Linked DNA regions of Drosophila melanogaster. The protein of the gene in region 1 interacts with the protein of each later gene in a pairwise test. Each region holds a gene or a part of one and is shown on either strand. Other genes may lie near its edges.

Region 1 (9,551 bases):
ACCACACAAACACCTACCCACCCACACACACCCACATCCACATGAATACCACACACACGACGCAAATTGCTTAGCATACTTTACGGCTTCAATTGGCAATTGGCAGCCTTTGAATTTTGTTTTTCCCCACCCACCCCATCGCCCCACACCTTTTCCTTTTCCGCTCACATGCCGCAGGCAAGGGGCTTTTGACACGAGTTGGTTGACGGCTTAAGGGGGCTGGGTGATGGGTGTTGTGGAGAATGGTGGTTGGGGGACAGCCCTAAGAACGCCGCCTGCCTGTCAGCTGACAAGTTGGCAACTTCTGTTGTTGTTGTCGGTTCTATGGAATTCCCCTTTTTTTTAGCTCGGCGCACTCAGAAAAATTTAAAGCAAAAAATTTGGCATAAAAATTGACAGGGGAACCTAGAGCAATCGATCTAACTAGTATCTAGTTAAACTTCTAACACCGTAGAAGTTTAGAACAGAAAGATAGAAATCTTTAAAATTGAAATTCAATACAGAGATACTTACAAATATATGTAGGTAAATGTCATATATTCCATAGTCCGAAAATTTAACCGTTTCTATGGCATTTTCTTGGATTTTAAGCGGAAATTGTGGTCATAAGCCCATAGTGCGACTGAATGTGCAACGCCGAGAAATATTTTGGTAGTCGAGTTTGCCCGCTGCGAGTTCCTTCGACCTTTTCAATCGACTTTCAACAGCTTATGACACCCAGCCTTATTATGACCGTCATGGCTGTCAAGATGGGAACCCGTTCCTCAGACGCTGTCTAATATCTTCATTAAGCCGGAGCGCTCGGCTTGTACCTTCCGTTCCAGCTCCACCTTTCGCCGCGCGCATTTTCTATTTGTTTTTCCCGAAACCTCACTCCGCAGTCGCACCTGAGCTCTTTTTTGACAGGCCAGACAGTTCAGGTGTAAAATAGTTTGCCACGTCAGGCGGCTGCGTTTTTGGCCGCCTATCTCTTTCTCCGTTTTCTCCGCTTATTGATTTTCCACCTTCACAAATGTCAGGACAATCAGTCTGACGTCTTGACTTTGGACCTCAAACGCCCGCAAACGGTCAGTTGTATTGGAAAACAAAGGGCATGAATCTTTTCTGTTTTTCCCGCTTTTCTAGTGTTTCGTCCCACGCGAATTTTGCGTCAAGTCATTGATTTTTGAGAAAAGATGGGAAGGAGCGTCATCGGTTCTCAAATCCTTTCTCGTTTCACAAATCATTTTGCCTAATTGCTTTGGATTTCTCAGTAATCCTCGAGACGGCCCGCCGTGACCTATCCTTGAACTTCCAAGGTCAATAGACATCTTATAGATTTATTGTATTTATATCGTAGGATTCACGTTTGATCCTATAATTGTGGTAACAAAGTGTAGGTTTCTACAGATTTCATTCTTTTCAATAAACTTAATCATATGATTTTAATGTTCAGCTCTTTAATTCAACTCATTTCCAGACAACTTCTTCTTTAATAAAAACAATCGCTTAAGATGCGCAAGATTATTCCCAATTGGCTAAGTCTGGGAGACAAAAGTTAAGTGCTCATTTTCCAATGCGCTGCTATCAACAGTTTGATAACTTTGCAGACATTAAATCGTTCACGGTTTGCAAAGCGTGAAAAGAAAAGCAAACAGCTGTAGGGAAAAACTTGTGATAAGAACTCTTGGCTCATGCTCGACATCAATCTGTTTTCCCCCTTCTGCATTAAGTCAACAATTTGATATGCATTTTGTTTTGTTGCTGCAAACACATTGCTCTCTGTCTTAGTGGGTTTTGGAATTTTCAAAGTTGCCTTAAGCCCCCGTGCTGCAACTTTCTGACAGCCGGTGATTGAATGTTTGGCAACGACATCGGGGATTAACTCGGCAGTTATCCTTATCAGCAGTCCGATGCCACCGGGGCCATTCAGACGCTCGTTGGCCAGACATGGCCCTAATTGAAGTGGCAACTTGCTTTAAACTAATTCCCGGCGATACACGCTTCAGCCATATGTTTATTCAGAAAGTGTGCCTGTGCAGATAAAAGGTATAAGATGAATTTGTTATTGAATAATGTCAAAATCGCATAGCCTTGCTAATTTCTTGTACATAATCCCTAAACGCAAAATTAAGCACATGTGTGTAATTTATTTGCTTAATTTTAATGCATTTTTGGTGTCACATTTCTTGGGTCTTTTATTAAGATTGACTACGCATAATAATTAGAGAGTTTAAACATTACGTTTTTGTTGCACAAAAAATGTTGTAAAAGCTAACAACATTTAACTGCATTTGATACAACAAAATTAAACCAATGTAGGTTTTCTATTTTAAGGGCTTTGCCTTGAGCTCTTGTGTATTTTTGAGATACATTTTACTTTATATAAAACGTAGATATTGATTTTTCTGATTAATAAATAGACAACTGGTTTCCAAGCAAATAAAGAAATTTAAGAATCGAGGCAATATTTAAGGATGTAAATGCGCAAAAGCCTTTAGGGTTTTACTCTCTGTTTGAATAAAATGTCATAAACAGCAGCCCACTTAATTAAATATTGGTTACTTGCATCTTTTGATATTTATTTTTTCCTCTTAGTTGCGACAATTTTAAAGTCTTTGTTGTTATCTTTTTTACATTTTTTTTATGATATCATTTTTTTTTACACCTCTCATACTCGAGTTATGAATATTGTAAAGGTAGAAAAATAAACTCCATTACTATATTGGTTAATGAAAGTTGAATACATTTCGCGGTGCCATGTTGCTTTACTTTGTTAAAACTTTTTTAAAAAAAAGTTGCATTCGCTTCCGTTCAGGATAATTAATTTTTTCGATAGCCCATTTTGATTTTTTCCATAATAACTCTTTTGCTGGCCGAAAACTTTTGTAGTTGTTTACATGACCCCCATCCCCCCCGCGGAGTTCAGCTGTTAGGATCCACAGCTCCTTATTTACCTTATGTAAATGTAAATGCTTATCAACAGGCAGCCGCGCTCCGTCTTATACGACGAAACAACGAGAGTCGAAGAGAGCGGAGCACGCTCTTAAATTGCAGAACTCTCTGATACAGTTCAAGTTAATACAAAGTAACGTTGAGTTTGTTTTGTTTGTGTGGGCGGGCTGGGCGGTGAAAGGTGAAGCAGGTCCAGAAATGTAATCAATAATTTTAAATATTTAATGCGCTAGCGAGAGAGTTTTTCCAGAAAAGTTGTGAAAAGAGGTATTTTCTTTTCAAAAACTATCTTAGCAAATGTGTCCAGTTTTGTATTCAATTTTGCATCAGAAACTATGTACCTTTATTTGTATTTACAAGCCAGAATTATGGACTCACCTGTGCCAGCAACAACTCACCTCCCCCTCACACAACCTACTCATACTTTTCTCATCAAACAAATGGGATCCACATGCGAGCGAGTTTGCGCCAATGATGAAAGAGAGTGGCGCTCTTTTAACCTACTCTTTCAAGTACTCTTTGCGACAGCAGGAAACGTCGCGCAAGGAAATCGCAAATGTTTCCTCTTTCGTGTGCATGTGTGTGGTGTCCTCCGTGCTGGTTCGTCTGTGTGCGTGTGGATGACATTGTGGCACTCGTTGAGGCAGCTCCAATTGACGGGCCAGTAGTCGTTGCGAAACTTTTGCTGGAGCAACGCGTCGGACAACTGGCGGTGTTGCACCTATCGTTATCGGCCATCGGCAATCGATTGTCGGCAATCGGCTATCGACAACAAACTATCGTTATCGGTTATCGTGTGTGTCGACCTTGGTGGTGATTAGTGTTAACGGTAACTTAACCATGTGCAACATCATCAAGCGAATATTGGATCATCCGCAGGACTCCAAAGGCCTCCGAATGTCCAGGTGAGCCCGTATGCTTTTCCACCCAGTTTTGCCACCCTGGCGACCCGCTTGCCACCACGAAAATTAACCTCGTTTGGCTTAAATGTAGTTAACTAAAGTTAAACGACCTCTAATGTCGATTTAATTATGTGAAAATAAAAGTTATGATTTCGTTTTTCGGCTTTTAGCTCATCTTAATGGGGTGATTAACGGTAATTCGCATGGTCGGGACGAATCCAATAAAAAGTTTAAGAAGTAATTGAAACTAATTAAAACTATGCTCACCGAAATATGCACCTAATATTTGCTAACAGCTTTATGATGCCATTAAAGACCGGCCAAAATTTGAGGGGGAAAAGTTGGCGGCGGCCAATCAAATTTGAGTGCTCCAACTTAAAATTAAATTATTTTGCTCTACTTTAACTTACATAACTCAAACCACTAATTGCTAACAAAACAATTTCAAATGGAGCTCATAAACTAAATCTTTAGTATTTCGCAGTGCCTGCAAATTCGACTTAACTTCTTACATGCCAAAATGCCATAATTATTGTGATTGTTAAAACGAACTAATGGATTGATTATAGCTATTCACAGCTCAATAGTTGAGGTTTAATGGGGACCTTGAAGTTATGATAATGAAATGTCTGATTAAGTGATAGATACAAAGCGCATAGTTCGGGCAACAAAAGGTAGCAAACCGTTTTAGCGCCTGAAAAACCCGCAGGCATTAAGATACCAGCTCAGATAGGCGTAGAGGTGATCGTGGGAACGAACTTTGACCCCTGCCAGTGCATTCGTTTTTAATTAAATGGAAGAGTGGACAGTGGAGGCCAAAAGTGACTTTTGAAATGGTCAGGCAGATAAAAGTGCAATAACTATAAAGCGAGGGTGGCGCAAACGCTATCGGCAGTCGGATCCTGGAGGTCGTGGACTGGGCGAACCCAAACACGCACAAATTTGTTAAGCGGGTCACGTAGTCCGGGAAATCCCATGCCATCCTAGCCAGCCCCTCTGGGTGTTGTCATCAACACGAAAATAAAAATAGAAAATTAAACTTGAAACGCGCAAAATGGCTACAAATGCTCTTGCTCTGCGCTGTGAAAATCGATTTCAATAAACTTTAATTCGTTTTCGTTTTCCCCACTGAAGTCATCGGATGTGGAAACCTTGAAAATGACGCAACAAATTAAATGCCAATAATTTAAAACAATTGCGACTCGAAATGCCAAGTAAAAGCAACCTTAAAAAGCGACCAGAGCGAGATAGCGTTTTGTTTATGGCTTTTAAATCTAATTAAATTCCCATAAAGACCGCGAGCGATATCAAAAAACAGCGCTGCACGTAGAGTAAATAAATAAATAAAAAAAAATGATTTTAAACTTCAAACGGGTTCAACGACTACCAAGCCCCGCAAATAATTGAAAAAGACAACTAGGGGGCGGAAAATGCAAAACGGCGATGGGCAACAAAGGGTTAATGTGGTGCAGTAAAGTGCGTGTGACAGTCCACGAGGGCAAACTAAAAAGGGGTTGATGTAAATTGCACTAATGACCTGCATTTTGAGTTTGAACAGCGATTCATAATTTAGCCAAATGATTCGTCGAACAGAAGGTGGGAACTCAACCACCGACTTGTTTCGCATTGAAACACGCAAAATGCAAAAGCAAAGCCCTGCCTTAAACCTGTTCAATTTTATTCACCGGACCACTCATTGTTTGGAATATTATTCACCACTTGAGAGTGGAATCGCCGTCTACAGACCTCAAGTTAACAACTTTTGTCCAAGTTTGAGAAGCAATTTTAACCCATATATCCCGGTGATTAGTGGCTTCCAATCCGTGTGAACTTCAGGATCCTGAAAACCTGATATGTTATCAGAGCTACAGTTTCAGGATTAAACAGATGCTTATTATATCTATCACTTTTTATATGTAGGGTACAGCTTGCGTTTAAGAACGAGTATCTTATAGTCGAGTTCGAGCCGGGTAGAAATTATATTTAAATGCCATCCACAAGTGGACTACTTGCCTAAAAATACCTGTCTTGAATTACCCGTTATACACTCTATATAAAAACATATTAAGTCTAAAGCTGCGCAATCTACACTTGAGATCAGTATCTACCGGCAAGTAAAATAGCTACATATAATGTTCCGTAGATATTAACCCAATGATAAGATCCGTATTACGAGACATATGGGGTCTCATATAAACCGTATAATGACTCGTCGTAATCAGGTGGCGTCAATCGGACCGCTAAATGGTTTGAGATCATTATTCACACGCTCAGAACAACAAAACTGGTGTCATTCAACCTCGGGGCCGCTTGTTTAGCGAACATCATTTTGAAAAAAAGCTTTGATAAGAACTGTGCGTCGGGTCAGTGGGTGGTTGGGCGGTGGGAGGTGGGCGGTGCGTTGGGAGGAGGGCCCCATATTCGTGAAAAGCTCAGAACGGAGACGATGGCGCAAGCTCACTGCATGTTTGATGGCCTGGCATGTATATAACAAGTAAATTGCGCTAAATTTCTCTCAGTCTCAGTCCGCGAGCGAGGCAAATGCGAAGATGTCAGCGATCACCATACGCGCCATGACAATCGGGGATTACGAGGAGGTCGAGGCCTTTCTCGCAGTGCACTTCTTCAAGCAGGAGCCGCTAATGCTGATCCCCCAGGAGGATCCCAAGCAGAGCGAGGTGTCTTCCGCGGAGGCTGAGCTACACCGCTCGCTCATACCCCAGGATCTCTCCCTGGTGGCCGTCGACGGGGAGCGCATTGTGGGCGTGGTTCTGGCCGGTGAATTGGTACCCGAGGATCTGGAGAGGGAGTACCAGGAGGCTGAGCAGAAGGAGATCACGTGCCTGCTGGACAAGATACACAAGTTTCTGGCCGGGATCGAGCGGCAGGCCAATATCTTCAAGCACTACGGAGTGGAGCGGGCGCTTTACCTGTACATGCTCGGTGTGGACGTGTCCATTCGACGCCAGAGAGTGGGCACCCGCCTGGTGGAGGCCACCATTGAGCTGGGTCGCCAGCGTGGATTTCCCGTCGTCACATCTACCTGCAGCAACCAGAACTCCAAACGCCTTATGACCGCCCTAAACATGGAGTGCATACTCACAAAGGATTACGCGGACTACAAGGACGAGCACGGGGAGATCGTCCTGCGGGCATCCGAGCCACACACCTCCGCCAGTGTCGTGGCCATACGACTGTAAGAGTAGGAAAATTACCAAAGAATGTAGAAACATAGCTCATGGCAACATGATAGATAGGCAATATAAGGAGGGGGAGTCGTAAGAAACTAAACCGATTTTGATAGATAAGAAAGCTTTGTTTATGTAGACATTGTAATCAACTTTGTATTGTTTTCAGTTCAAGTATATAGGAATTCAAACTATTATCATAAGTGTTTGTCGTTGATTTCTTGGGTCTTGCAAAATAAATGAGTAAGCGTGCAATTAACCGGGTATTTCCCAGCACTGTCCCATCCAAGATCGTAACTCTTCCACATAAATCACTTTGGAAAATCTGTCCGATTTGTCTGTGCGATTTTAAGTGTGGGATAAGAAATCCGGCGATTTGCTTTTGCCCAACATTAGCAGTTAAAGTCGTAAACGAGAACAGCCACTTCTTTCCCGTCGAGTGGCACATCCCACGAACTTTGCCCTCCCATTAGCTCGGCCTTGCTGCGGGGACCCACTTCATCGTATTCCATCTCGGTCGTCCATTAAAGGGACGCAGCACTGTTGTCGGCACTGCGGTTGCCCTGCTCTCATTTTTCCGCTTTCGCACTAAAACTAATTGTTGTTTTATTGTGTTTGTAATCCAATCCACTGGCGAAACGCTAGCCACATGCGATGCAGGCGCAAACCATACATATATATGAGATACACATGGGCGACGGATTACTCCCCTTCGTCGTCTTATCTGTGATTATATATATAAAACATATGATTATGTAACATGTGCGTTGTTTTGGTTTCGATTGGCCGCGAAGGCTGAGCAGAATTATGGATCTCACACTTGGCTACCTTGAGCAGAAAGCTTTCTTTTCACGCTAACCGAGAAGCTTTTCTGATTCTCTGGTCGCAAGAACCTAGAAGTTGTGACAATTTTCCCAGATACTTTTTTTATGCTGCCGAGTTCATTTGATGAAGGCATGTCAGAATAGCTCGAGGTAGTTAGTAACTTGAAGGATTAGCATTCGGTACATAGAATTTGTCGAAAACATAAAAATTCATTTTTGAGTAAGCTGGTGAGGCTGGAAGTGCAACAGAATATTTTGGAATGTAAATGGCGACGAGGGACTGGGACTCGATTGGAATGGGTCCTTTGGGTGGCCAGACAAAGTCCTGTCTGGTTGAAAATTCAGCAAACAGACCAAAAACCAACGTAATTTACATGTCTGCAGGATAAGTTCGACAAGAATCGAGCAGGAGGGGCAAATCTGAGGAAAGTCAGAGGGATTTTTACTACCGCTTTGGCCTGAACAGTCTGTTTGCCATGTTTCGCCAGTCTGGTAACAGTTGTTGCTGACCCCTGACCCTCAAATAGAAAAATTCGATTGGAGATAAAAGCGTATAGTCTCAAATTGCTTAATCAACACCAAAGGTTATGATGTAAAGCAATCGATTAGATGACTGTAGCAGCCCTTTAGCCAGATTCTCGGAGGCTCAAGTTTTAATTAAAAATGCTTGAAAAAATGTTGCTAACAAAGTCGCCAGCATAATGCAGCAAAATTGCCTAAAAAGAAAGCCGCTGGCATGGAAAAACATTTTAACAACCACATCCCGCAGCGGAGGGCAGTGAAGCCAGCCCCATGTTGGCCCGGCATATTTGCAAACCGCCACAGTTTTAGGTGCACTGAAATTTCTCCAAATATTTGCGCAAGTGAATTTTTGATTTATGCCAGCAAAGCGTGACCTAAAAATTTTTTCATACTCAGCCAAACTAATTAAAAGTGAAAAGTTGACATTTTCTAGTTGAATTTTTGATTTATGGCGTGAACTTCCCAACCGCAGCGAAAAATTTAATGAAAATTCAATCAAAGTTTGCGGCACTCTCCGTGAGTTCGGATTATTTTGCGGCACGGAAAACTTGCAACATATGGCTGCCCAGTCTCCCAACTTCCCACTTGCCCACTTGCCCAGCTGCCCTGTATGACCCGACCTCCGTCCGTTTTGTTATTGTTTAAGTGACCCTAATGAAGATTAATTTAGAACAAGTGCTACACTCACTGCGTGAGCGTTTGTGCAGCCGATCGTCTATTTAAATGTTGGAAAAAAAACACAAAAATTAAATCTCATTCATATGACACACCAAATTGTATGCATCGACCCAAAATACTATACAAAATTTTTAATTTTCTAGGGATAGAACAAGATTTTTTACCATCAAAAGATTTTCAATTTGTTGCCTATCTCATTACTTAAATCAGGGTCTCTTGATTTTATCTAGAGAAAATTAATTGATTAAGCAATTTCCATAGTCAACTCCGTGGGGAGCATATATATATTATTTTTTTTAATCGAGAGGACTATCCCAATTCATGCTTTCTTAATTAATGAAAAATATACTCAGCAAACGGTTATGCCCATGCATAATTAAAATATTCTGAAATATTTCAGTAAGCGGCAGATACCGATTTCGATTTCGATTCCGAATAGATTTAACTGCCTACACAATGTGTAACAAGTTTAACGAATTCAAACTAAGTAGTTTCAATTCGGG
Region 2 (8,206 bases), on another chromosome or scaffold:
TCCTGACCCTGGGCGTCAGAATTGGGATGCTCTTTTAAAAATGGACCCAAATTAAAGAGGACAGTTCACCCTTAATAAGTAGTAAGAATGCAAAAAAAGTATTGAAAGAAATGATATTTAATGTAAATATATTTAAAACGTAATAGATACAATTTCTTACATATATCAGTTGCGTACAAAATATATATACATATATGTATATACATATAGAAATTATAACATTTTTATATTATTTTTCTTTTTTGGCCTACAGGATGCCGAAACACATCGCATGTAAGAAAATACATGCTCTTCCTAGTCAAATGTACATTAGGGTACCACCATTTGTGGCAGATGCCGTCCCGTGGATGCGACTCCTCCGATGACCAACATAATCAAGGAATTCGCATATGGAGGGCCGGCCCGTGGATCCTGACAAATTGAACAATTTAAAGAGGGCTTTGTGGGTTTATTGTGGACGAGCTAAGTAGGTCTGTGTGCCGGTGATACAAGAGCTTGGGCGGCTCGTGGTGCCGCCTTGAAGTAAGCCGAATCGGAGTTCGAAAAAATATAAAAGTATTAAAGGTCTGAACGAATGGATACACAGGAATTTTTCACGTTCTGGAAGATTTCACATTTTTTGTTATTTATCACGCTTGAAAGATAATCTTGCAAATTTTCCGCGGCTGTTTTTAAAGAGATTGTCACCCTAGCGGCTTCCTTCCGAAAAGGTTTGTATTCACTCTTTAACATCTGCTTTTTAAGTTGAGTTGTTATCATCTCATTACTTTTTTCTATAAATTCATAGAACTCCCTGCCAGTATACTTATCTTGGTCCAAGAACCTAAACCGTTGAAGACATAGTCCTTGATGTTTTTCGAATTTGAGCTTAAAGGAGTCTAGTTTTTGAATTTCAATCTGCAACTGATCCCCTAATTTCTTGCTTCTGCAGTATTCATCCCGTACCAGTTTTTTGGCCAGATTGGATGATCTTCGGACGGATTGCATCTGAGTCAGTTGGTGCTGTAGTTTATGGCTTGCAAACTTCAGCTGAAGAATTTCGGGATGAACTTCCTTTACATTTGTCAAAAATATATGATCATCCAGGCAGGGATCTATTTTTGGGCATTCCGGTATATTGGTACCTAGTTGGTAATTGAGTCGATTTACGCGCCGCTTTAAGCGAAACACCTCATCGTAAATATCTTCGAGTTCCAGATTGCTTTTCTCGTTTGATTCTTCTAGAACTTCCTCAGCGATCCAGCAATCTTCGGATTGCAAAACACTCTGCATCGTGCAGTGAAACACTTTTTTTGGCCCGTTATGTTTGAATGCGAACTTTGATTGTGCCAGTTTCTTATCATTTGGTTTAGTGTTTTCCATTTTACTTATTCCTGCTGCCTTGCACGATAAATTTTGGTCCACTGATTGCAGTATTGGTAATGAATTCATCTTGAATTCATTCCTCCAAATTAACCAATATCCAATTAACTGTGAACTTCAAAACGGAAACTAACTCGGTACACAACGAGCACTTCCAGTGTTTTCAAATCATCTAACACAAATCTCAATGAAGGCTTAGATAAAATATCGTATATATCGATCTATCTATGGGTTTGTTCGATCTTTTAGTTGGGTACGTGCAATTATTATATCCTTTTTCAAAGCGTCCCTTAATTTGTAGTTTTAACTACAACTAATGCAGTCTTCAACGCAGATATATACGCAATATATAAAAATGTTATCGGCAAGAAAATCCACTGAAAAATTTGCTCAACTCCCATTCACGGAATTTCAAATCCTAACAAAAAGCCTGCTTAATGTGAATTTAAAATACCAAAATGAAGACGGAAAAAGTTGGGATACTATACTGTCCCAAATAAAATAGCAAAAACATAAACTTATTTATATATAAATACAATTATAAGGAAAATACATACTTATGTTGTTATTTAAGCCAGGTTCTAGACACTCTGAACTCCAAAAATGTAAGAAGAGTTTGGATGCAGTGTGCACTCAATGGGTAAGCTCACATTATTGAATAGATTTTGCGGAAGGCAGAAGCTTTCCTTTTCACTGAATGACAGCGGAAAATGAAGTGAAATCTAATTAAAACCCTTTGCTAAAATCACAATTGTCAGCGAAAGCTCACGCACACCTGCTCGCAAAACTCACGAGCACACAAACACTGACACAGACAGATGGACAGACACCGGCGATTCCCATACGCAAACAAATAGAGGATCCGATTCTGAGCCCGAGTGGGGCGGTCCTGGCAGGTGAAAAACAGACGTCAGCTGTCCAACTACCCGAATGCGGAATCTGGTGAAAACAGTGCAAAAGTTTTGACCAGAAATAAAAGAAAGGCGAACTGTACTCGGCTTTGGAAGCCACCACCACTTAGTGATGCCAAAGAGAACCTGTGTTTGTAAGATTATTACTAGGAAAACCAAACTTGAATAATACCAATAAATATACAGGAAAGACAGGACAAATCCAATTTATGTTACATGTTTTGGATGTCTACATCACCCATGAAACTCCGCGAATCTAGCCATTAGTTAAATGGCTTAATAAAAATTGTTTATGTTTATTAGGGTAAATCATTGACAGTTTCATAATTTGATTGTAAATGATGGTAATCGGTAGCTTACAATAAGCTGGCTCACCTTTTTTTTTAAGATTTCTTAGGATAGGTAAGTGCCATCTCTGATTTGAATCTAGATGCCACGGGGTGAGGGGCACATAACCTCCAGGAGCGAATAAAACGCGCTGTTGCACACGAAAAATAACAAGCTGCGTTGGTCAATTCATCGAATGTCGGTCAGGGCTGCCGCCAGGGAGAAATGGATTGGGCAATGGGCACTGGGCAATGGGAAGCAGGAGCCCGGAGGTGGGTAAGACCACCTGGGCGGAGGTCCATGCAGGGGGCGACATAAAAGTTTCACACCCAGCCATTTGGCCATCAGTGTCCAACAGAGCCGTTGGGCCGGAGTTGCTGTGTTTGAATTAAAAGAAATTAGTTTAGTTATGCCAATGCTCCCCGGGCTACGCTATTGAGTTATCGGCCAGGCAGGAGTGGGACAACTTGGTGCCGGTGACAGGAGGCAACTCGGATGGATAAATTGCAAGTTTTCCCTTACAATTTTGAGTGTGTGCTGCTTGTCCTTGCGTGCCTGGAATTTCAGAAAAAATAAACGCTTTGCGTGTTGCTCTTCTGATGTCGTTTAACCATTATGTGGCATGAATTTGCCATTTTCATTTAAATGCTGCTCTTGGCAGCGAGTCAACTCGTTGGCTTTTTAGCGACTGTTCTGCATTCATAAGCAGCAATCGTATATATCCTGCGGAATGTACTGAAATTGTTGTTGGATTTAGGTCTAAATGTATACAAAACTAGTATTCTTATTTGTTAAGCCCTGAATAAATTTAATTTTTAAATTGCATAAATTGCAGTGCAGTGAAATCATCTGTAATACCCATAGTACCAAAAACCTTATTTTTGTGAATGATTTTGTGTTGCGTACAAAACCTAGATTTCACGCTGATCATTTCCATTCCTAAGTTTTGAAAACAGCAGAGGTGCCATCACCAGTGACGAACCAGATTATGCTCATGCTGGTGCCATCGAAATTGATAGTGGAAATATGTGTGCTGAATGGGATATTTAAGCGCGCCTATCAAACACGCGCACAATAAATCTTCGTCACGGGCCCAAATTGACATTTTACAGCCAAAAACCAGAAACCAAAGCCACGCAGAGGACAAAGTAAGTTCCACTAGTCCGTGTTCCAGCTGCTTTTTTGCTCCTGCGGCTGCCGCTGTTTCGAAAGCCACTGATATTGTTGTCAACGATGATGGCCCAAGGCATCAGCCACATGTGTGGGAGCCAGAGCTCGTCCCTCCTCAAAGTGCCCTCGCACATGGTTGGCAAAGCCAAACCTTTATTGCCACAGCTCCATGGAGCAACAGCGAAAATTTAATATCTGGCTGGGGCGTGGCTCCATTGGAGCTGGTCCGTTGTTGCTGGCGATCAGAACTCATCGCATTATCCTTTGGCCTGGTGGCGGTTACTCGCTCAAAATAATTGCACACTGCACCCCCAATAAGTCTGTTCGCCCGTTTGATACAGAGAAATTTCTATTCGCATTTCCCAAACAAAAGTGGTGTACAAAAATAAAACTGCATATAAGTTTTAAAACATACGCCATACAAAATATATTAAAAAATGTCCGAAAAAATATTGTGCTTTTCCTCGTTCTGGTTTTCAGTGTCTCTGTGAAGTCATCTGTCAGTACCCTAATGCAAAAAGCATGAAACCTCAGGCCAGCTGTCAACACAACAAGCAAATTGCCGCGGAAGCATCAGTTTTGAGGCAACTAGACTTTTTTGATATGGAAAAACCCCTATCAGTAAGAGTCACTAGAACTATAGGTTTATTTTTAAAAATAATCAGCTCCTTTAACACAAAGTTAGACTTCTAAGTAGACAAACAAAATTTAACCCTCGTCTAATTTGTGTTTCTTTTGAGATTGGTTTTGATACTCAGCTTTCCATGCATTATGTCCGAATCTAAAGTCAACTTCATATTTTAGTAGATTTTTGGAACGATACTCATGTACAAATGATACAAACTGCATGAGAAGTGCACGGACTAAAAACTGTATTAATTAAGGGATCCTCCATACGCTTTATAGGTACACCAAACTAATTACAATTTAAGTAACTTTTAAATTACGTCACCAGAATTTCGAGGTCTTTAAAGCAATCAGAATCCTAGATAAGTTTGTCAAAGTTTTCGTGCTATAGTTATTCTCAAAAAAACATGTTTTTGGTGAACATATTGATTGTTTTGGCTCTATGTTTGGTATAATTAAATATTTAGTAATTTTAAATGAAATCTGATTTATTCTCCTGTATTCTAGTTGGTGTTGGTTATAGCTGATCTTCAGGAGGACCATCTAAATGAACACAATCGGTTGAGGGAGAAGCATGGAAGTCCGCCTCTGACCTTGGACGATGAACTCACAAAGGGATGCGAAGAATATGCTAAAGTATTTCGTTGGTTAATAACAATGTTACCTTTTTACACTTTTAATACCCTCGAACAGGTGCTAGCCAATAATGAAAAGTTAGAGCATTCAAGTTCTGCCGGTCAAAACTATGGTGAAAACTTGTGCATGCGGTCACAAACCCCTCTGCAATGTGTTCAAGACTGGTACGACGAAATCGCGGACTACGACTTTGAAAAGCCACAGTTTGCAATGTCAACGGGTCATTTCACCGCCCTCGTTTGGAAGAATGCGAAAAAAATGGGTATTGGGCAAGCCAAGGACAAAAAGGGTTACTACTGGGTGGTAGCAAGATATTATCCACCAGTCAATGTGAACGGGCAGTTCGAAGAAAATGTTCTTCCGCCGATCAAAGGGTAAGCAAATTAATTACATCTGTAGTTTTTTCTTTCATTTTATTTCATTGCAGGGAAGGTGATGAAAATGGTCAAGGCAATTTGAATAGATTTCAAGTTGACAATATTCCCATCATAGTCATGCTTTGGTTATGCTGGCAATTCACAAATTGAGGGTCATTATCACTTTGAAGTTTTTGTGCCGCAGTTCTTGTAAATTTGTAGTTAAGCAATTTGAAAAACCAATTACTGATATTTGAAACTACTCTGTACCCAATAATAAATTTCACTTTTTGGAAGTTTGGTGAATATGCCATTGTTAGTTATGTAAAACCATTCTATCTAGTTGCTTGCAACTTGTAGTTCACCAGGAAGATATTAAAACAGCACACGATATTTAATGATCGAAACTGGGGAGTGCTGCCTTAACACTGGGGTGTTTGGCATTTACAAAAACTATTTAAATGCATGAAATATTTTGAATTAAAAAAAAGAGAGAATGTTATAGTCGAGTTCCCCGACTATCTAATACCCGTTACTCAGCTGCTGGCAGTGAGAACGTGATATTTCATAATTTTCTGGCATATCGATAGATATTGGAGAATTTAATGGGAAGGCGTGGCTGCATGGATGAACAAACTTGTGCTTTAGAATCTGTATGCTTTATCTTAACCTTATAGCTTATATAATTCCTGAAATTTCGACGGTCATACGAACGACCAGACAGACGGACATGATCCTGATCAAGAATAAATATACTTTATACGGTCAGAAACTCTTCCTTCTACATACTTCCTTGACATACTTTTTAACGAATCTAGTGTATTCTACTTAATTCTACGAGTAACGGGTATAAAATGTGTTAAAATTTATATTATTTGAAACAGCTATTACTACAGCTATAGAAATCCAATCTAAGACGACACAGCACTGGTGGGCGTGTGAGTATGTTGGGTTAATTTGAATTCGTGCGATAGGGATATTCAGTTTTTTTTTTTCACTAGGCGCGGGTTGTTCTGGCCTTTTTCTTTCCGCATTTATTTTTATCTTTTTTGGCAATCAGCATCAGCCGAAAGGAATTCCCCATTGACTATGCCGGTGTCAACAAAGTGGCGGAAAAGAATTAGGTATACTGTCTCGGTTGGCTGTTTATACCCTTCTACTATCTCAATCCTTAACAAGTTTTAGATGGCTTAATATATTTATAAAATTATATAAATTGTAATCATTTTTATGAATTATATCACATTACTTTACCACTAAGTCAAAATGGGTGACTTATGCACCTTTTGGGGTGGTACCTACCACGTACTGGGTATCTATAAGTCGGTGCAATCAACTAGAGCGCTATTTTATTTCAAGCTTTGTTTCCTACATGTCTGTTCCCAAGTGGAAGTCGATGTCTGGGGCTCAGCAGCTGCCGGGAGCGCATTAAATCCTTAAGCACTCATTATTATTCAATCAGATATGGAGTCGAATGTCTTTTTGTTTGTGTCTTACTTAGCCTCGCTTTCTGGGTGGCTGCGCCGTGCGTGGGTCCACCTAATGACATTCAAATTGCTTCCATCTCTGGTCGGTTTCAATTGGAACACCTTGCACAAAAATTAATGGAATTATAGATCACAGCGTCTAGGGATGCATGTTCCCCAGATATTTCTTTGACGTCTGGTTGAGTGTTAAATGTAATGAAAGCAGAAATTCTATACGGATTTGAAAGTTGGAAATTGGTACACTTCTTAAAGAAAATAGTGTGAAAAATGTGTGTCATTTGGAAAACTGTATTTTTTATGCATACCTTTAATGCGTTTGCTTTTGAGGGCTGAATAACTATCTTTCGAATGTCCTTTAGTTCGGGCACTTATAAAATGCTCCCCATCACCACTCTATTATGGTTTGGGTTCGACGGATAGCCGAGTTTGTCAACTATTTACAACTTGAACTTGGTCGTAATATTTATGTGCATCGTAAAGGCCGAAAGTTGGAGCGACGCACTGAGAAAATGTTGTGAAATCAAATTTACACACAAACCATCCCTAATGACCTAGCCCACAGACAGAACGGAAACACGGAGGCGCCACTCCGGAAAAGGACGAAGCCAAGTCGCGGAGCGTTGTGTCTCGTTGGCAGAACTTCATTCGCGGGGCTGGAAATTGTTTAATTTCGCCCTCTCTTAATTATCTGCAGTGTGCCGGGTGCTTAAATTATAATGGCGCTGACCTAATTGAGTAATAATTAAAATTAAGTGCATGCTAAATTGTTATTAATTATAAAGTGCACGCAAAGATGCCACCAACTTTCATCGATAGCGTGCTAAGGGATACTTAAAGGGCCCGGGCTAGTTGGTTGCAAGTGTCACCAATCGAGAAGGGCAGACTGAAATCTATGGCCCATTCAGACCATTTACAATATTCTCTTTTTAATAAAATAGCACTGCGGCCAAAAGTTAATTTACTTTTCGCGACGCGTAATAACTTTGGCCAAATATTAAATGCGGTACTGGCAACTAATGCAATCACACCCTCTATTCAGATTGAGAGACTGCAGCAGTTGCACTGACATTTCAATATAAATTATTGCCAATGGGAGTGGATAAAATGTCGCATGTACCCGGAACATGAAAACACCGAACAACAAATAGACGACTGGCTGGTGGCGGAACAAAAACAAGGGGAAAACCAGAAAAGAGCGTTATTCATCGTTAAAGCGACTGAAGGCTAGAGCGATGACGACAGCGGCGGACGGCGAGATGGATGTACAGGGCGTATGCGCAATGCGATATGCAACAAATTGCTAAACAAATCAAATTTATTGCCAGAACTG
Region 3 (7,240 bases), on another chromosome or scaffold:
TAAGTTGTGCTCTTAAAAATTAAGTTCTTCTTTTGCAATTCCGGGGCATAAAGCTATCCGCTTACACATAATGGCGCCCCACATTCGGGCGCCCCATGTGCCCTACTCAAGTCCAACTTTCTGGGTAATTATGTCTCCATGTAAGCTCCGGGCAGCAGTCGTCACTCAGCTGGGTTTTACCGATTTTCCGATTTTCCGATTTTCCTTTTCGGCTTTTGCTTTCTATCCGAAAAGAGGAATATTAAGTATTCATTGGGAAACGCAAGAGAAAATCGGTTGAAGTGGTTGCGGGAAGTTGCCGAAAGGCAGCGTTCGTCATTTCAAATTGAATTTTTAATTTTTAAATACTTACCAACTGGCGAAAAAGAGTTGCAACTATAATGCATGGCAAAACTGTGAAAAACGTCAATGGCACTTCCAATCTAAATAAGTAATTTTTTAAAGCTTAAGTAAGGGATTTATCAGTAGACCAAATTTTGTAAACTTTTGTTGGGTAAATTGATTCTTATAAAAAGGTATTATGGGAAAAACTGAGACTTAAGGAAATTAATTACAAAGCTCATTGATACAAATTTTCAACAGTTATTATTATTGAAACACATATTACAAGTTTTCTAAAGTCTCTTAAAAAGACTAAACACACTAAAACAAATTAGGCCAAGGCAAGGTAAATGGGATCTTAGTTAAATTAGTTATTAGCTAAACTAACTTTGCAAATCCCATTTGTAATGTAATGTAATCGATGCAAAGCTAAAATAACTATTTATTTACTGAACACAGCCCGTAAAAAGTGCGTATTGAATTTCCTTCGATGTGCGAAGTGCAAGTGATTAAACAAGTAAGTGCGGAGTATTACATGTGATGATGTGGTGCTTGACGGGAACTCAATTCTCTTGGCAAGTTCAAACAGAAATCTAATTTAAAGCGGCTAGAAAGACTGAAGAGATCTGAAGAGAGACGGGTGGGAAAATGGGTAATGTGTGTCTGTGGACTGCTCATTTCGCTTGTTTACGCATCCAACTTGCCATCAAGCATACGCCAAGTGAGCCATCGCAACAGAAAGGGTCATCGGAGAAATGTTAAACTAGAGCGAACAGCTTACGTAAGTGATGGGATTTAAATGCCGGAAAAACTTAAATGGCAAGCTTAACGCCGTATCACGTAGCATCCATATTAATTGCAACGTGTAGTCGGGTATAAATAGCTCACTACCTGCCACAGCCGATCATTCAGCACTACTCGACAAGATGAACGTATTCAATGGTTTCTTGCTAGTCTTCCTGGGCCTGGCCCTCAGCTCTGTGGATGCACAGATAGCAACACGCCAGGAAACCTCGGAGGACAAGGCTTGTGGTCCCCACGCCTACTACAATTACGCCCGGCACACTTGCCTGCCATTCTAGGAACCTTTCCAAAGTGTCCTATGCCTAAAGAAATAAAACGTTAAGGTACTAAATGTACCAGAAATTAATACGCGATGTTTAAGTTAAACGGGAAAAGAGGGTGCAGCATAAAAAGAGTGGACATTACATTAATGGTAATTCTATCCTTTTGGGAGATGCTTAAGAAGAAGATCATTTACAATACTTCTTACTGTTCAGAACCATCGATTTAGGTTAAGAAAATAACTAGATTTCTTATTATGAATGAATTGGTAAGCTCAATGGGCCATTATTTGAACGACCTTCAGCAGCTACCTCATCCACACCATGACTCCGAGGAAATGTTGGCAATACGTGGAAGAGCTTTCTTGAATGCACAACTTTATGCCCCTTTCACTGCTTCGCTAATTAATTCACCCCTAAGAAGAACGGTTTCCCAGTCCCAGGAAGCTGCATCATAAACCAACTTGTAATGGCGACTGCAGTCAGGCCAACGACTCTTATAAATGATTCTTAGAAAAAGGTATTATTGGAAAAACTGAGGCTAAAGGAAATTATTTACAAAGCTCATTGATACAACTTTTCAACAGTTATTATTATTGAGACACATATTATACATTTTCTAAAGTGTCTTAATTAATTTTAGCTAACTCAAAACACTAAAACAAATTAAGCCAAGTCAGTGTAAATTGGATCTTAGTTAAATGAGTTATTTGCCAAACTAACTTTGCAAATCCCATTTGTAATGTAATGAAATCGATGCAAAGCTAAACTACCTGTTTATTTACTACACCTCAATCATTAAAATTGTTGCTAATTTGCTAAAGCAGATTGAGTTACAGCTTGAGGACACAGTCGGTGAAAAGAGTGTGTTGAATTTCCTTCGATGTGGAAAGTACAAGTGATTAAACAAGTAAGTGAGTTGTATGTTGTCCTTGTTGTCCTTGACTACCCTCTCCTCAATAAGGATCGTGGTCCCCATGTCCGCTTCTACAGCTCTTTCCTCGCACATGAGCTTGTTGCCGAGTCTTCGGTTGGATTTTACCTACACCTTTTCGCTAACATCGAATACCCTATTCTGCGGCGAGGCGTTTTCTCTATCCCTTTCAGCTTTCTGGATCCTATTGTGGAAATCTACGTGTGGCTCATCAGGTTGCGTTAGGACGATGTCAGCCGATCTCCTTTTGATGACCGAGTGAATCGACCTATTATTATATTGGATAGTGGCCAACATTACTATATCGACCGTATCACTTATGCCCTTGTCTATCCTTATGCACCTGGCTAGCTCCAGCAATGTGAAAACGCTCCACCTGTCCGTTGGAGGTACTGTTTAGTGGTGATGCATTTGTAATGCTTACACCAAAGTTGTTGCAAAGCATGGACACGATCGTGTGCGACTTCAGCGACGGTTCGTTGTCGCAATACATGGTCTTTAATAGTTCTCGAGGCGGTAGGTTGTACGATGGCAAATTAAGAAAACTTCTCGACGCAAGTGAGGAATAACTTGTTGTCAGCATAAAAAAAAATGTCTTTGTGCAAGACAGTATTGTGTGACAGTATTGGCGTTTCACCGAATTCTTGCTTCATTGGGTGCCTATCTTACTTGGCCCTCGCACAAGTCCTGCAGTTCTGCACGATCTCATTGGCCAGCTTGGATATTTTGGGGAAATAGTATTCCGACAATACCTGCTTTACTTTTTCTTGCTCTGCTCTGTATGCACTATTGTGTTCAGCAGTTAAGATTTCCCTTCTTTCTTCGAATCTGAGAACGTCCACAACGCGGTTCCTGCAATGCCAGAACTGTGTGGCTGGGAACCTCCGGGATATCTCATCCTGTACCTTTGCGAGCGTGCGAAAATCGCAATGGAAAGCGTTTACGCCCCTTGGGACGATTATGTCTACTGCCAACCAAAAGGCGGGTTCTTTGATCCGCTTCTGCTTGTTGGGGTGGCTTGACCCGCTGATGGGCACTTGCCTAGTATTCTTTTTCCACCATGCTCCTCACAAAGCTGGCAGCATACGCATATCTTTCATGGTACTATTCCACCTCTTGCGCCAGCGCCAGAGTTGACGGCAAGAACAGCTGAGAACAGCACATCTGTGAGACTACGCTTGAGTCCCGAAACCAACACACAATGTGCATCTTCGCGGAAGTTTTCACAGAGGCCCTTTGACTTTATTAGTCAACAATGTAAGTTTTTGCCGACTTCATCGTAATATTGAAGTAAAGACATGCTGCCTTGTCTCAGCGTATCCAACTCGCTCGATTACATGAACTGGACGTTTGTCGCTGTATGCGACTTATAATCGCGTCAAAGTTAAGTACTGTGCCGAAAGAAGCCAGAACAAACATACGATTCATGTGCGCCTGCAAACTCGGGCAAGCATTGATGGCATCCAATTTGCCATCAAGCATACGCCAAGTGAGCCATCGCAACAGAGAGGGTCATCGGAGAAATGTTAAACTAGAGCGAACAGCTTACGTAAGTGATGGGATTTAAATGCCGGAAAAACTTAAATGGCAAGCTTAACGCCGTATCACGTAGCATCCATATTAATTGCAACGTGTAGTCGGGTATAAATAGCTCACTACCTGCCACAGCCGATCATTCAGCACTACTCGACAAGATGAACGTATTCAATGGTTTCTTGCTAGTCTTCCTGGGCCTGGCCCTCAGCTCTGTGGATGCACAGATAGCAACACGCCAGGAAACCTCGGAGGACAAGGCTTGTGGTCCCCACGCCTACTACAATTACGCCCGGCACACTTGCCTGCCATTCTAGGAACCTTTCCAAAGTGTCCTATGCCTAAAGAAATAAAACGTTAAGGTACTAAATGTACCAGAAATAAATACGCGATGTTTAAGTTAAATGGGAAAAGAGGGTGCAGCATAAAAAGAGTGGACATTACATTAATGGTAATTCTATCCTTTTGGGAGATGCTTAAGAAGAAGATCATTTACAATACTTCTTACTGTTCAGAACCATCGATTTAGGTTAAGAAAATAACTAGATTTCTTATTATGAATGAATTGGTAAGCTCAATGGGCCATTATTTGAACGACCTTCAGCAGCTACCTCATCCACACCATGACTCCGAGGATGTGTTGGCAAGGACGTGGAAGAGCTTTCTTGAATGCACAACTTTATGCCCCTTCCTTTCACTGCTTCGCTAATTAATTCGCCCCTAAGAAGAACGGTTTCCCAGTCCCAGGAAGCCGCATCATAAACCAACTTGTTATGGCTTATTAATTTTGCATGCAGCCGCGACTGCAGTCAGGCCAACGTCATGTAAACATGTGCAGGATTCCACTGGCTCCTGCCTGTGAGAGGGGGTCCTGTGCTCGCAACTGAGAACTCGAGCCCGGAAAAGACAGCCTGATGGGGCCTCTCATCGGGAAAGTTAAAGCCTGCTCGAGGCAGATTTATTGCATTTTAATGCGGGCTCTGGATTGCACTCAATTGGTTAACTGGCCGACAAACACAGATTTAATTTCAAATATTTACTATTATCTGCGGGGAATCTTTGGACAGCGAATAAAACGTTTTTTCCGTGTGCCGCTGGCATAAAAATTATATTTACTGACTGAATGAAATTTTCCTGCTTTATTATTTGTTACGCTTTTACGTTTAATTCAGTAGCCCATATTTACTTTTCATTTAATTTCAGTTAAACTTGCAGATTGCCATTGAAAATCAAATTTTTTCGAAATTGGTGTTCCCACTTTGAATTTTGGCTTATTTTCTAATTTGCTTTTGTGAAAACAGTATTTTAATTGCCAAGTATACCTCAATTAAATACATTTGCCTGTTGTTCCATTTTGCCATATGCAGAGTTAACCGAATTATTCATGTAATTTAATTAGCATCGTCAATGAACCAATTATCATTTATGGCTCACAATTAAGGCAAAGAGCTAATAAAAATAAATTGTATTGTGCTCGAATATGGTTGTGTTAACACAAACGCAATTGAAACTTTATAATTACTGAAGAAAGAACTTTGCAATCTATTAAAAATTGCACTCAATTGTTCTCTATTCTTAGTTTGAAAATTATTTCACTCGTCTGGGCTGATCTTATCGCTAATGCCAATAAATATTCTCTGCGCTATTCATCAACCTCAAGTGCCGCCAATAATGTCCCCTTTCGAAAAACGATTCTATATTTAAGCTTCTGTTTTATGGTCATCGACAAATGTCCAAACATTGACAGCTATTGTGATAGTTGCTGCCTGTCACAACCAACTGGGGCAGACTAATAGTTGGTTTTATCCCCTTGCATCCTGTCGAGTCCTGTGGACTACGTCACAAATGAGAGCGTCATGCGAGGAGCATCCTGGACTACCATTTTCCTGAAATACAAACAAAGCATAAATTTTAACGAGCTTGTCAGGCGAAACAGGCGAGGCAACAGCCACCATGTACTTCGATATCGACGCATCATTATATAATTGACTCCCTGATGCCTGGATGTCGAATCACTTTATCACTTTGTTGTCGGCGATGGCGGAGCTAATAATGCTGATGCCCTCGATACAAGTTGCCCGATTATGATGATGCGAGGATGCTTATCTGGTGGAGATTCGCTGAATTAAGGTAATCAGGTCAACCAGTCTCGGTTTTAAATTGAATTTATATTAATAAAGTGTTGATGAGAGCTGCTAGTGTTAAAACCCCTGAAGAAAATGTAAACGTCATACCAAAATCTCACTTTAATCTGAGGCATATTTTAACATTTATTATAGGGGGCATTTATTTATCTAGCTCCAAACATAAAATTCGGGTTAGGAAGCGCAATGCATTAAATATTGTGATTTTAATTTAAAAGCTGTCGAGTGCACAACCAAGAACTTGTTGTGGCTTGACTGTGGTTCTGATACATTTAAGTATTCTGCCTTTGGCCAAAGAATTGAAAAATTTAACAACTTGTTGTCAGCTGCTCCTTAACTAGAATTCTTTGGTTTTAATCAAATTTATAATGTACACACATGGTCTATTAAAAAATTCATGTTTTCTTCATGCTGAAGTGCAATTTGAGTGTGTTAAATTTATTGAAAAAATGTGCACCAAAATTGAAACCTTTATGCAAGGCACAGTCGTTTTTCATCTGAAGTGACGTTGATTGGTGAAGTGAGTTCAGTCGAGGTCAAGTCCCTACTTCTCCTAGTATTCCTCATCCTTCACAATTTTACATCCTTGGCGCCTTTGTGGATTTCCTAAGCCGAATATACATATATATATTTTTTGAGTTAAGCCACAAAAATATGTTCTTTTTACCACACATTTGCCTCTCTTCCCTCGAGCTTGCAACTTTTCCAAGCAAATATTTGGGCTGTGAACCTGCCGCAAAGTTTTCCCTGTGACAAGAGCACATATCAAGGAGCCTCGCCGTGTGTCGGTAGATATCAAACAACGTGACTTGCCAACGGTTCTCGAGTCCTTGTTGATATTTCAAGCGCTTAAATTGATTACGCAATCTTTCGGTCCTTATTCCTTATAATTATACCCTTACCAAGGGCACACCACCATAGAACGATGAGCTTCGGCATTGTGACAACATTTTGCGAAATTAAAAAGCCAATAACTTATAAAAAGTACAGTAAATAGTTACGGATTAAAACTTAAGTTGTTAGTTAGTAGTCTATAAGACAATTTTAAAACAATTTGCCCGACTTTCCCAATAAATGATACAAAGTCTGAAGAGCATTTGAAAGCTTTTGCAAATCCTATTTCAATTTTTTGCTTTTCATATCGGAAATCGGAAATTTAATCCGTTTACTTGGCAATTTGGGCGGATGTTTGTTGTGGATTCTTTGGTTTGCGGCTCAATCATTTTAATGGCAGACTCGTGTTA
Region 4 (7,850 bases), about 14 Mb from region 1:
GGGCGGGCGCTCTCAAATATTTAAATTTCAATTGCTTCGCTTTACTACTTATTTACTCATTAATATAATTATTCTTTATTTGTACTTCATTATTTAACTTAGTTATTTTCTACATTATTCATATATTTTATTTCTATTTATATATATTAAGTCCTTAATGTGCGCGGAATGCGCACACATTTCTTTTAAGAATGTAAAAAGTCAACTGCATACAATTATCAGATTGCCGAATGGCAACACTTTTTTATTTGTTATTTTAGCTCTATAAATAAATAATATTTTAAATAACCGTATCAGTAGACATTGCTGGTTAGCGGAATGAAGAAAATATCCCTCTTAGTATTAGCGAATCTGAGCTGTGGTTAGTTCATTGCAGCCCCAGATTCAGATATCAGCCTCTAATATGACAGGAAATTACAATACATTTCACAGCCCTAAGTAGTAGGGAATATGAAGAACACGACAGGCTGGCGACGTGGAGACTTCGAAATATTGTAAACAAGTATAAATACTTAGCCACCGGAAACGCGGAGTTCTCCCGGTGGATTGAAAAAGTAAACAACGTTGCTGCCTTAAAGCTTGGACACAGAAGGTTACTTCAAAATATACGATAAGCAACGCCAATTGCTTGAAGATAACATTACTCAGCGCTTGAACACGCTCAGATCCCTAATCCCTAGCCAGCATCAGGAAAATGAACTTAAGAATGCCTACAAGTTCTCAAATAAGAGAAAAGAAGAGGTGTATATGAGAAATATGAGGGAATGCTCTGCACCACCGGAGATACAAGGATATGATTATGATTACTATCTAGGCTATTGATCATAAAATTGTCCAATGAAATCAAATAAAAGGTCGCTTTTGGTTAACCTTTATCGAACACCTACTCTGCCAATATACCAAAAAATGGTTGAAAATTCTTGTTCGCACTCCGACCAACTGGCAAATGGGTATCTAGTCCTCTAGATAGTCGAGGAACTGGACTAGAGCTTGTTATATTGTTTAATTTAAAACCGCACTGGTTTTTGGCGTCGGATGTTTAAGGATTAAGTTTTCCCGGCAGCCGACGGACGCCCTTAAAAGTAGCAGCAACAGCACATGGACCACATGTCACCAACCCCATTATTTCCGACGAAAACTGGTGGCAGTCAGTTTTTCCGAGTACACAAGTCTATTTCCATGGGTATTACTGAAAATGAGGCTTATATCTATAAGTTATTAAGCGAGCATTAATATGACATGTTTGTATCGAATTGGTTTAAAAATGCATATGGCTTCAAGTCTTGTTTACCTAGCATTTGTTGCACATTTTTTTTTTAAGAGTGTAAAAAGTCAATCGCAAAGCTTGACGAATGGGTTTTCTACACTCCTTTATATATTATTTTAGGTTTATAAATTAACAATATTTAAAATATCCGTATCAGATGCATTTGTTGGTTAGCGGAATGAAGATAATAGCACTCTTAGTATTGGCGAATCTGGGCTTTGGTGAGTTCATTGCAGATCCAGATTGAGATATCAGCCTCTAATATGACAGGAAATTACAATATATTCCACAGTTCTAAGTGAATCCTTAGCAGAAATGGACAGGCTGGCGACGTGGAGGCTTCATAATATTTCAAACAAGTACAAATACCTATCCACCGGAAACCCCGAGTTCTACCAGTGGATAGAAAGGGTAAACACCGTTGCCGATGAATTCAATCACTACAATAAGCATCGGCAAAGACTTGAGGATCAAATTACTGAGCGCTTGATAACGATCAGATCCATAATTGCCATAAGAAACGCAAGCAAGAGATGTCTTCGATTCTACCTTAATCAGGAAGCTGAACTTGAAAGTGCCTACAAGTCCTCCAATGAAAGAAAACAACAGGTTCTCTACCAAAATAGTGTAAGATGCCCTCATGGATTGGATGACGGCAGGCTTGGTGACCCTTACTTTGTTGACTACTTATGATAAATATGTTTAACCAAATCAAATAAAATATCGCTTTTGATTGAAATACTTTGGAATAATTCAAGCTTAATTAATTATGGGCAAGCCTGTTGAATATTTGTTTGAATTTGTGTGATAAGGTTTTTTTAACCGCAGTTGCTTTGCATGGCTTAAGTATTTAAGCTTAATCTATTTAATATGCTTAATATGCATGTGCATATCCATCGATTTGCTTTGCCCTTTGTAGACTTTCCCATTTTAGCTATTCACTTCAGTTAGCATTTCGAACCGCCAATATGAAGTTTATGGCAATATGCCTATTGGCAAATATTGGCTACAGTAAGTACATAGTACATTTGTACAGATATCCCAAGACAGACACTCATTTAAGCAATATTTATGCAGTACTTGGCACTACAATTGGCCAGCTTAATGACGAAGCCACAATTCGACTAAAGGGACTTGTGGAGAAATATAAACTGCAAGCTCTTAGCAATCCCGAATTCTCTCAGTGGATTGGCAAACTTGAGAAAACTAGCAAGTCGAGAAGATTGGAAGACAAAATGAAGGTCAAAGCTGAATTTAAAAACTACGACGAACGTCGCTTGCAATTGGAAAATAAAATTAGGGAACGCATTACGGCGATCGATGACCTCATATCCGATATTATGGCCAAAGTCCCGATAAAGGATAAAGGGTGTCTCAAGTATTACCAACGCCAGAAAAGATCCCTTAAATTGGCCCACAATTTTTCGAATTTAACTAAGCAAACAAACCTCATACGCAACTCGAAACAATGCGAAACAACTAAAGTGCAGTCTAGTGAACTAAGTGAAAGCTCTGAAAATCCGGATGAGTATAGTTATTACTAAGCTAGTATTACTAGTATCTAGATAGTGCATTATATCAATATATACACATATATGTATCTTTCGAGAGCTTCCAGCAACGAGTTTCCGGCCCTGTTAATATTGATTATAATCAATCTCGTTGACCATACTTTCATTTCGCAGAGCCCGTGGCCATTTTTATTGCATCCACAATTCGGCTGACCACATTTTAGCTTCATTTACAGTTATTTGGCCGGCCCCCACCTGCACAGATACTGTCACACCACCGGCCGCCGACTAAATGCCTACGCCAACAGCTACGCCCACGGCCACACCCACGCCCACTGCCACGCCCCGCAGGCAAAACCGCAAATTCAATTTTGGTTTAGAGCCTACAAACATTTTGCAGCGTGTTTATGTCCGGCTGCATTGTTGCGAGTAGTTTTCGCTCCTGGCCCGCTTTTAATGCAATTTATGGGAAGTGTTTGCCCCGGATTCGGTTGCCACTGACCACAAAGCGATCTTTTGTGATATGGAGAGTGGATGTGGATGTAGGCGCGGGGCATGGGGTATGGGGCATGCGGCATGTGGCATGGGTGGGTTAAAATAGTGGTCGCGGTCTCTAGTTGGGTTTTCATTAAAGCATGACCGGTTGCCAACTGACAGTTCTTAGTGGCCATGTCCGCATCATAATCGTCAATCGAACTTTGGACAAATTTGCAATTTTGCAGATTGCGGATGCGAGTCCATATGGTCGCATTTCTATCTAGATCAGGCAATAAGGCTAAATTTTAGTTTACAGATTAATGAAGCAAAGAAAAAAGTAAAATTTCTATTAACTGAACATATAAATATGTTTTTTTTTATTACATCAATGCTAGTGCTTCCTTTTACCGAAAACCTATTGAATACGCTAAAAAATTGGAATAGTCGCAAGCGGAAGTCGTCCAAAAAAATCCTTAAGAATTTTGGAACCAGTTTTTCTACTTGTCGTATCGAACCAGGCGCGTGTCGTCGCCGACCTCCTCCAGATCCTTTGGATCGCGGCGGAAGCGATAAGTGCCGACATCCTGGTTGGCCGATTCCGGCAACGTCACCTTGATGCCCTTGTACTCGGTTCGACCTTCCCTGACCTCCGGCACCCGCAGCTCCATCTCGGCCTTGTACTCGTCATCGTTACCAATGTCCACGTCCTGGACGTTCTTTTGCACGGTGGGATCCTCCTCGTCCTGGTTCCAGCCATCAATCTCGATGGGGACAATGGGGTTGCCGTCGACGCCTACGACGGAACTAGGTGCGCCAGTAGGCAGGATCTCCACGGTATCTCCAGAAATCGGATTCTCTGCTGGTGGCGACTCAACTGCATCCGCGTCCACTATGTTGGTCACCTCTTTGAATGGAGTATGGTCCATCAATGTCAGCGAATTGACGAAATTGCGATTAAACTCTACGTCAGTCTTGGCCATCTCATTTATATTGATATCTATCACGGTCACGCCATCGATGTTCCGCGGACGGTCAATGGTGAGGCAAGTAAGACCAGTAGACATTTTGGAGTGCAAGGTCGAGCGGGCCACACGGACACGGTGCAGCGCCAGCTGATTCCTCAGCATCGAAAGATTGCGAAACATGGTTTTTGTCGGTGTTTCGAGTGCGGAAACTAACTACCCAACAGAACAAAAACCGAAGTTAAATTTAAAAAACGTTCTTATTTACAAACAAAAATTGGAAGGTCTTATGTTGCCGAAATTTTAGATATGACTAAAATTCCCAGCTAAACCCGACAACTGACAAATCTCGATTGTGAAGGAAGTTAAAGGCCAGGCTACACTGGTTACTGATAATTACTGAAATTGAAATATAAATGAAATCACTATCGCCGTATCAATATCTTTATTGGTGCATTTTATGTGAAGTACACAAGCGTTTAAACATATTCTTTTGTCACCCTCTTATACCTATTGACAACTCGAACATTCCAATTCCAATTCCAATTCCAACAAATACTATATACTCGTTTTATACCTAAATTTCGGTAGGGTAACAATCAAGAAGTTTATAGATTTATACCTAAAATAGTACATAAAACAATTCTTCCATCCTTAATTCATATTAGCTCACTCCGTAGATCTAACTACCTTTTACATAAGGTAGCGAACAAATTTTAGGTTTTAACGTTTTCGCTTAGGGGCACTTCCGGTTGCCCTTCGCACCTTCCGCTTGCCAGACGTGGAGGTTTCTGATTTCTCCTCGAAAGACGACTCCTCCTCCTTGCCAGTGCGCACCTCCCGATTTACTTTGTAGGCGGCGCCCATTCTCTTAATGTTCTCCTTGTGCACCACTTCGTGTTTAACAATCCGGTGGGGATAATCCGTGCCGAGGACGCAGCCGTATGCCCGCTGATCCACCAGCGACGCCTTCCAGGGCTCATAAATACAGCCAGCAGGATATTTTGAGAGTTCCGGCACATACTTCCTGATATAGTGCCCTTGGGGATCCGTTTTCTTGCCAAACGCCACCGGACTGTAGACGCGAAAATACTGGTGAAAGAAAGCGGACGCAGATAGCCACATCCAGTTGCCAGCGTTTAGTGCCCAGTCCTGATCCAGCAGCAGCTGCTCGAACACCCGCTGTCCCTCCTCCCAACTGATCCAGAGGTCTCCGCGCGTTAAGAAACATGCCACTGCATGCCGGGCCAGATGATGGATCCAACCCTCCTGGCGCAGCTGACGCATGATGGCGTCGATGAAAGGATATCCTGTGCGTCCGTGTGTCCAGGCCTCCAAGTGATCTGGATGCTCCTGCCACGGAATTTGCATGCAGTATACATTGCCCAACATTCGATCGAAATTGGGTTCCGCAGCCGCCACTGTGTAGTAAAATTCCCTCCACATGAGTTGTCCAATGAGCGAAACGGGCGGCTGCGAGTGCTTCGGCTGGCGTTTGATAATTTCCTTGAGCTTTTGATTGAACAGTCGGGCACTAAGGCATCCAAATTTGAGGTAAGGGCTTAGTACGGTAGTGCTAGGCTCCAGCGAGTTGGGTGCCGTGTTGGGCTTCTCAAAGCGGGCAACCCAAATTTCATCCTTTAGGGATTCCTCCATGCGGCGCAGTGCCTCTGTTTCGCCTGTTTGATAAAAAGAAATCCACATTGTTGTAGTTGTGATCAAGAGTTTAACTATGTTTTTACCTCCCGGAAACTTATTAGGGCCCAGTTCCTCCGGGCGTTTTACTAATTGCTTCATCGTAGGACAATCATAGGCCGCCGAATCCTTTTGCTCCACCTCATCTTTGGGTGGTGTAGGCATGTTTTTAAGCTTTTCAGGAACCCCTAGAACTTTAGGTACCTTTAGTTGCTCCACAATGCCCAGGAACTTTTGATAGGTAATTGGAGCCTTGCCAAGATTCTTCGCTATTACTAATTCCGGATTATAAATCGTGTGGGAGCAATGAGTTTCCACTCTCACACCCTCTGCCTTGGCCAACTTCTGCACGGCAGCATCCCGGGTCACGGAGTACGGCTCGATATCTGTCTCAAAAGTTAGCATTTCCACGCGCCAACTCTTAAAAATACGGGGAAAAACCTCTGCGGGCTTCCCGCGCACCACAAACAGACGGGAATTAAGTTTCCGAAGCTGGTTATCCAAGTCCTCCAGCGTTTGCTGCAGGAATCGCCATCGATTGGCACCCACTTGCATCCAATCGAGGATTCCTGGATCCAAAATGAAAATCGGGCGAACAAAGTATTTTCCTGGAGCAGCGTTAGCGGCGGTAAAAATGTGCGATAATGCCGGATTGTCGTGCAACCGGAGTCCTTTACGGAACCAGTGGACCAACGTGGACCTTTGTGAATCCATTTTGGCACGTGTCCCCGATTTCAAACGGTACCTATGCGGATTTATCGTAGAAAATATATTTCAAAAGCAAGAGCGTTCTAACGAACCTGCCAACACGTTTTCTGAACTTATTTACACTGCGCTGCAAGGAAAGTGTATAATGTTCTGGTGAGCGTGTTTATTTTGTTCACATACGTAGATAGGGCAAGTGCAAATAATATGAAGACAAATTTCATTGCATAATATGAAATTTAAATATGTTCACAATAATATTTTATGATGTAAAAACGTAGAACTTGTTAAACGTTCATGCTCTACATGCTTTAATCAATTTAAAATTACAAAATGAAATGTCTAACCTCTTTTTACATGTTTTGAGCAAGATATTGTATATACATTTTTTTAAATCTTTCAAGAATTTATGTTTCAAGTCGTCCGTCGAGTGTAAACAGCTGTTTTGCGATTCGAAAATACCGAAGTATGGCAATAGCGACCAAGTTGGCCATCCTCACTTTCAGTATTTTTTGCAGAGTTTATTTGGTGCACAAGCACCGGTAGTCAATATAATTATAATTACATTAAACCACCTAAAACAAGCTGATCAACCGCAATCAAACATCTCAACGGGATAATAATAAACGCCAGAGAGTGGTAAGTTCCTAACAATACGGCCACGAAGAGCGAACAGCTCGATTAACTGAAATTCCCTCGCATATCTTTCGATGGCATTGCAGGCGCACATCCGCCAATTGCTCAACATTAAGCGAGGAAAACACGGCGGAAAAATGGATCTGCTCGACTCAATACTCAACGCCATGGATGCGCCGCCTGCCAACAACGAGCAACAGAAGACGCTGATCAAGAAACAGCGCGAAATGTTAGAGCGGATGCAGAACAAACAGAAAGAGGAGCTCCTCCGATTCCGAAAATATGTAGACGAACGGATGGGGCGATTCGCCAAGGACGACAGGCGATGCATCGAGTTTCAGCCGCTGGATAAAGTGCATCGCTCGGTGATCCACGAAGTAGCCGAAAATGGCGGCTTCATTGCCATGAGCTTTGGCCGCGAGGATGTGGACCGACATTCGGTTGTGTACAAAAAGGAACACGCTCCTGGCGAGGATGAGGTCACGGCCCGTCGGAACGGAGACGGTTGGAACGAGGAGATAGCCAAGGAGTACGCGGAGCGACGGCGGGAACGATTGGCGCAGGAGCAAAGTGACAAAGAAGCCTCCACATCCGAAG

What was found.
Region 2: the proteins of Ddr (region 1) and CG31482 interact in a two-hybrid assay, tested with the Drosophila melanogaster proteins (one large-scale study listed by BioGRID).
Region 3: the proteins of Ddr (region 1) and Met75Cb interact in a two-hybrid assay, tested with the Drosophila melanogaster proteins (one large-scale study listed by BioGRID).
Region 4: the proteins of Ddr (region 1) and CG17470 interact in a two-hybrid assay, tested with the Drosophila melanogaster proteins (one large-scale study listed by BioGRID).

What each region holds. Positions count from the first base shown.
Region 1 is NT_033779.5:6,249,491-6,259,041, forward strand, and holds the start of Ddr (discoidin domain receptor), read left to right. Parts: upstream 1-3,632; 5' UTR 3,633-3,839; intron 3,840-6,368; exon of another isoform or gene 6,369-6,385; coding exon of another isoform or gene 6,386-7,036; exon of another isoform or gene 7,037-7,332; intron 7,333-9,551. Other genes in the region: AANATL2 (arylalkylamine N-acetyltransferase-like 2), read left to right, coding at 6,386-7,036.
Region 2 is NT_033777.3:6,596,506-6,604,711, forward strand, and holds CG31482 (uncharacterized protein), read left to right. Parts: upstream 1-4,736; 5' UTR 4,737-4,804; coding exon 4,805-4,846; intron 4,847-4,904; coding exon 4,905-5,033; intron 5,034-5,090; coding exon 5,091-5,407; intron 5,408-5,460; coding exon 5,461-5,560; 3' UTR 5,561-5,696; downstream 5,697-8,206. Other genes in the region: CG1138 (uncharacterized protein), read right to left, coding at 559-1,431.
Region 3 is NT_037436.4:18,466,372-18,473,611, reverse strand, and holds Met75Cb (Met75Cb), read left to right. Parts: upstream 1-3,993; 5' UTR 3,994-4,013; coding exon 4,014-4,169; 3' UTR 4,170-4,234; downstream 4,235-7,240. Other genes in the region: Met75Ca, read left to right, coding at 1,248-1,403.
Region 4 is NT_033779.5:20,638,705-20,646,554, forward strand, and holds CG17470 (uncharacterized protein), read right to left. Parts: upstream 4,541-7,850; 5' UTR 4,401-4,540; coding exon 3,753-4,400; 3' UTR 3,602-3,752; downstream 1-3,601. Other genes in the region: CG31680 (uncharacterized protein), read left to right, coding at 1,446-1,488, 1,560-1,960; Sfp38D (seminal fluid protein 38D), read left to right, coding at 2,236-2,278, 2,345-2,811; phr6-4 ((6-4)-photolyase), read right to left, coding at 4,941-5,896, 5,960-6,626; CG2608 (uncharacterized protein), read left to right, coding at 7,391-7,850.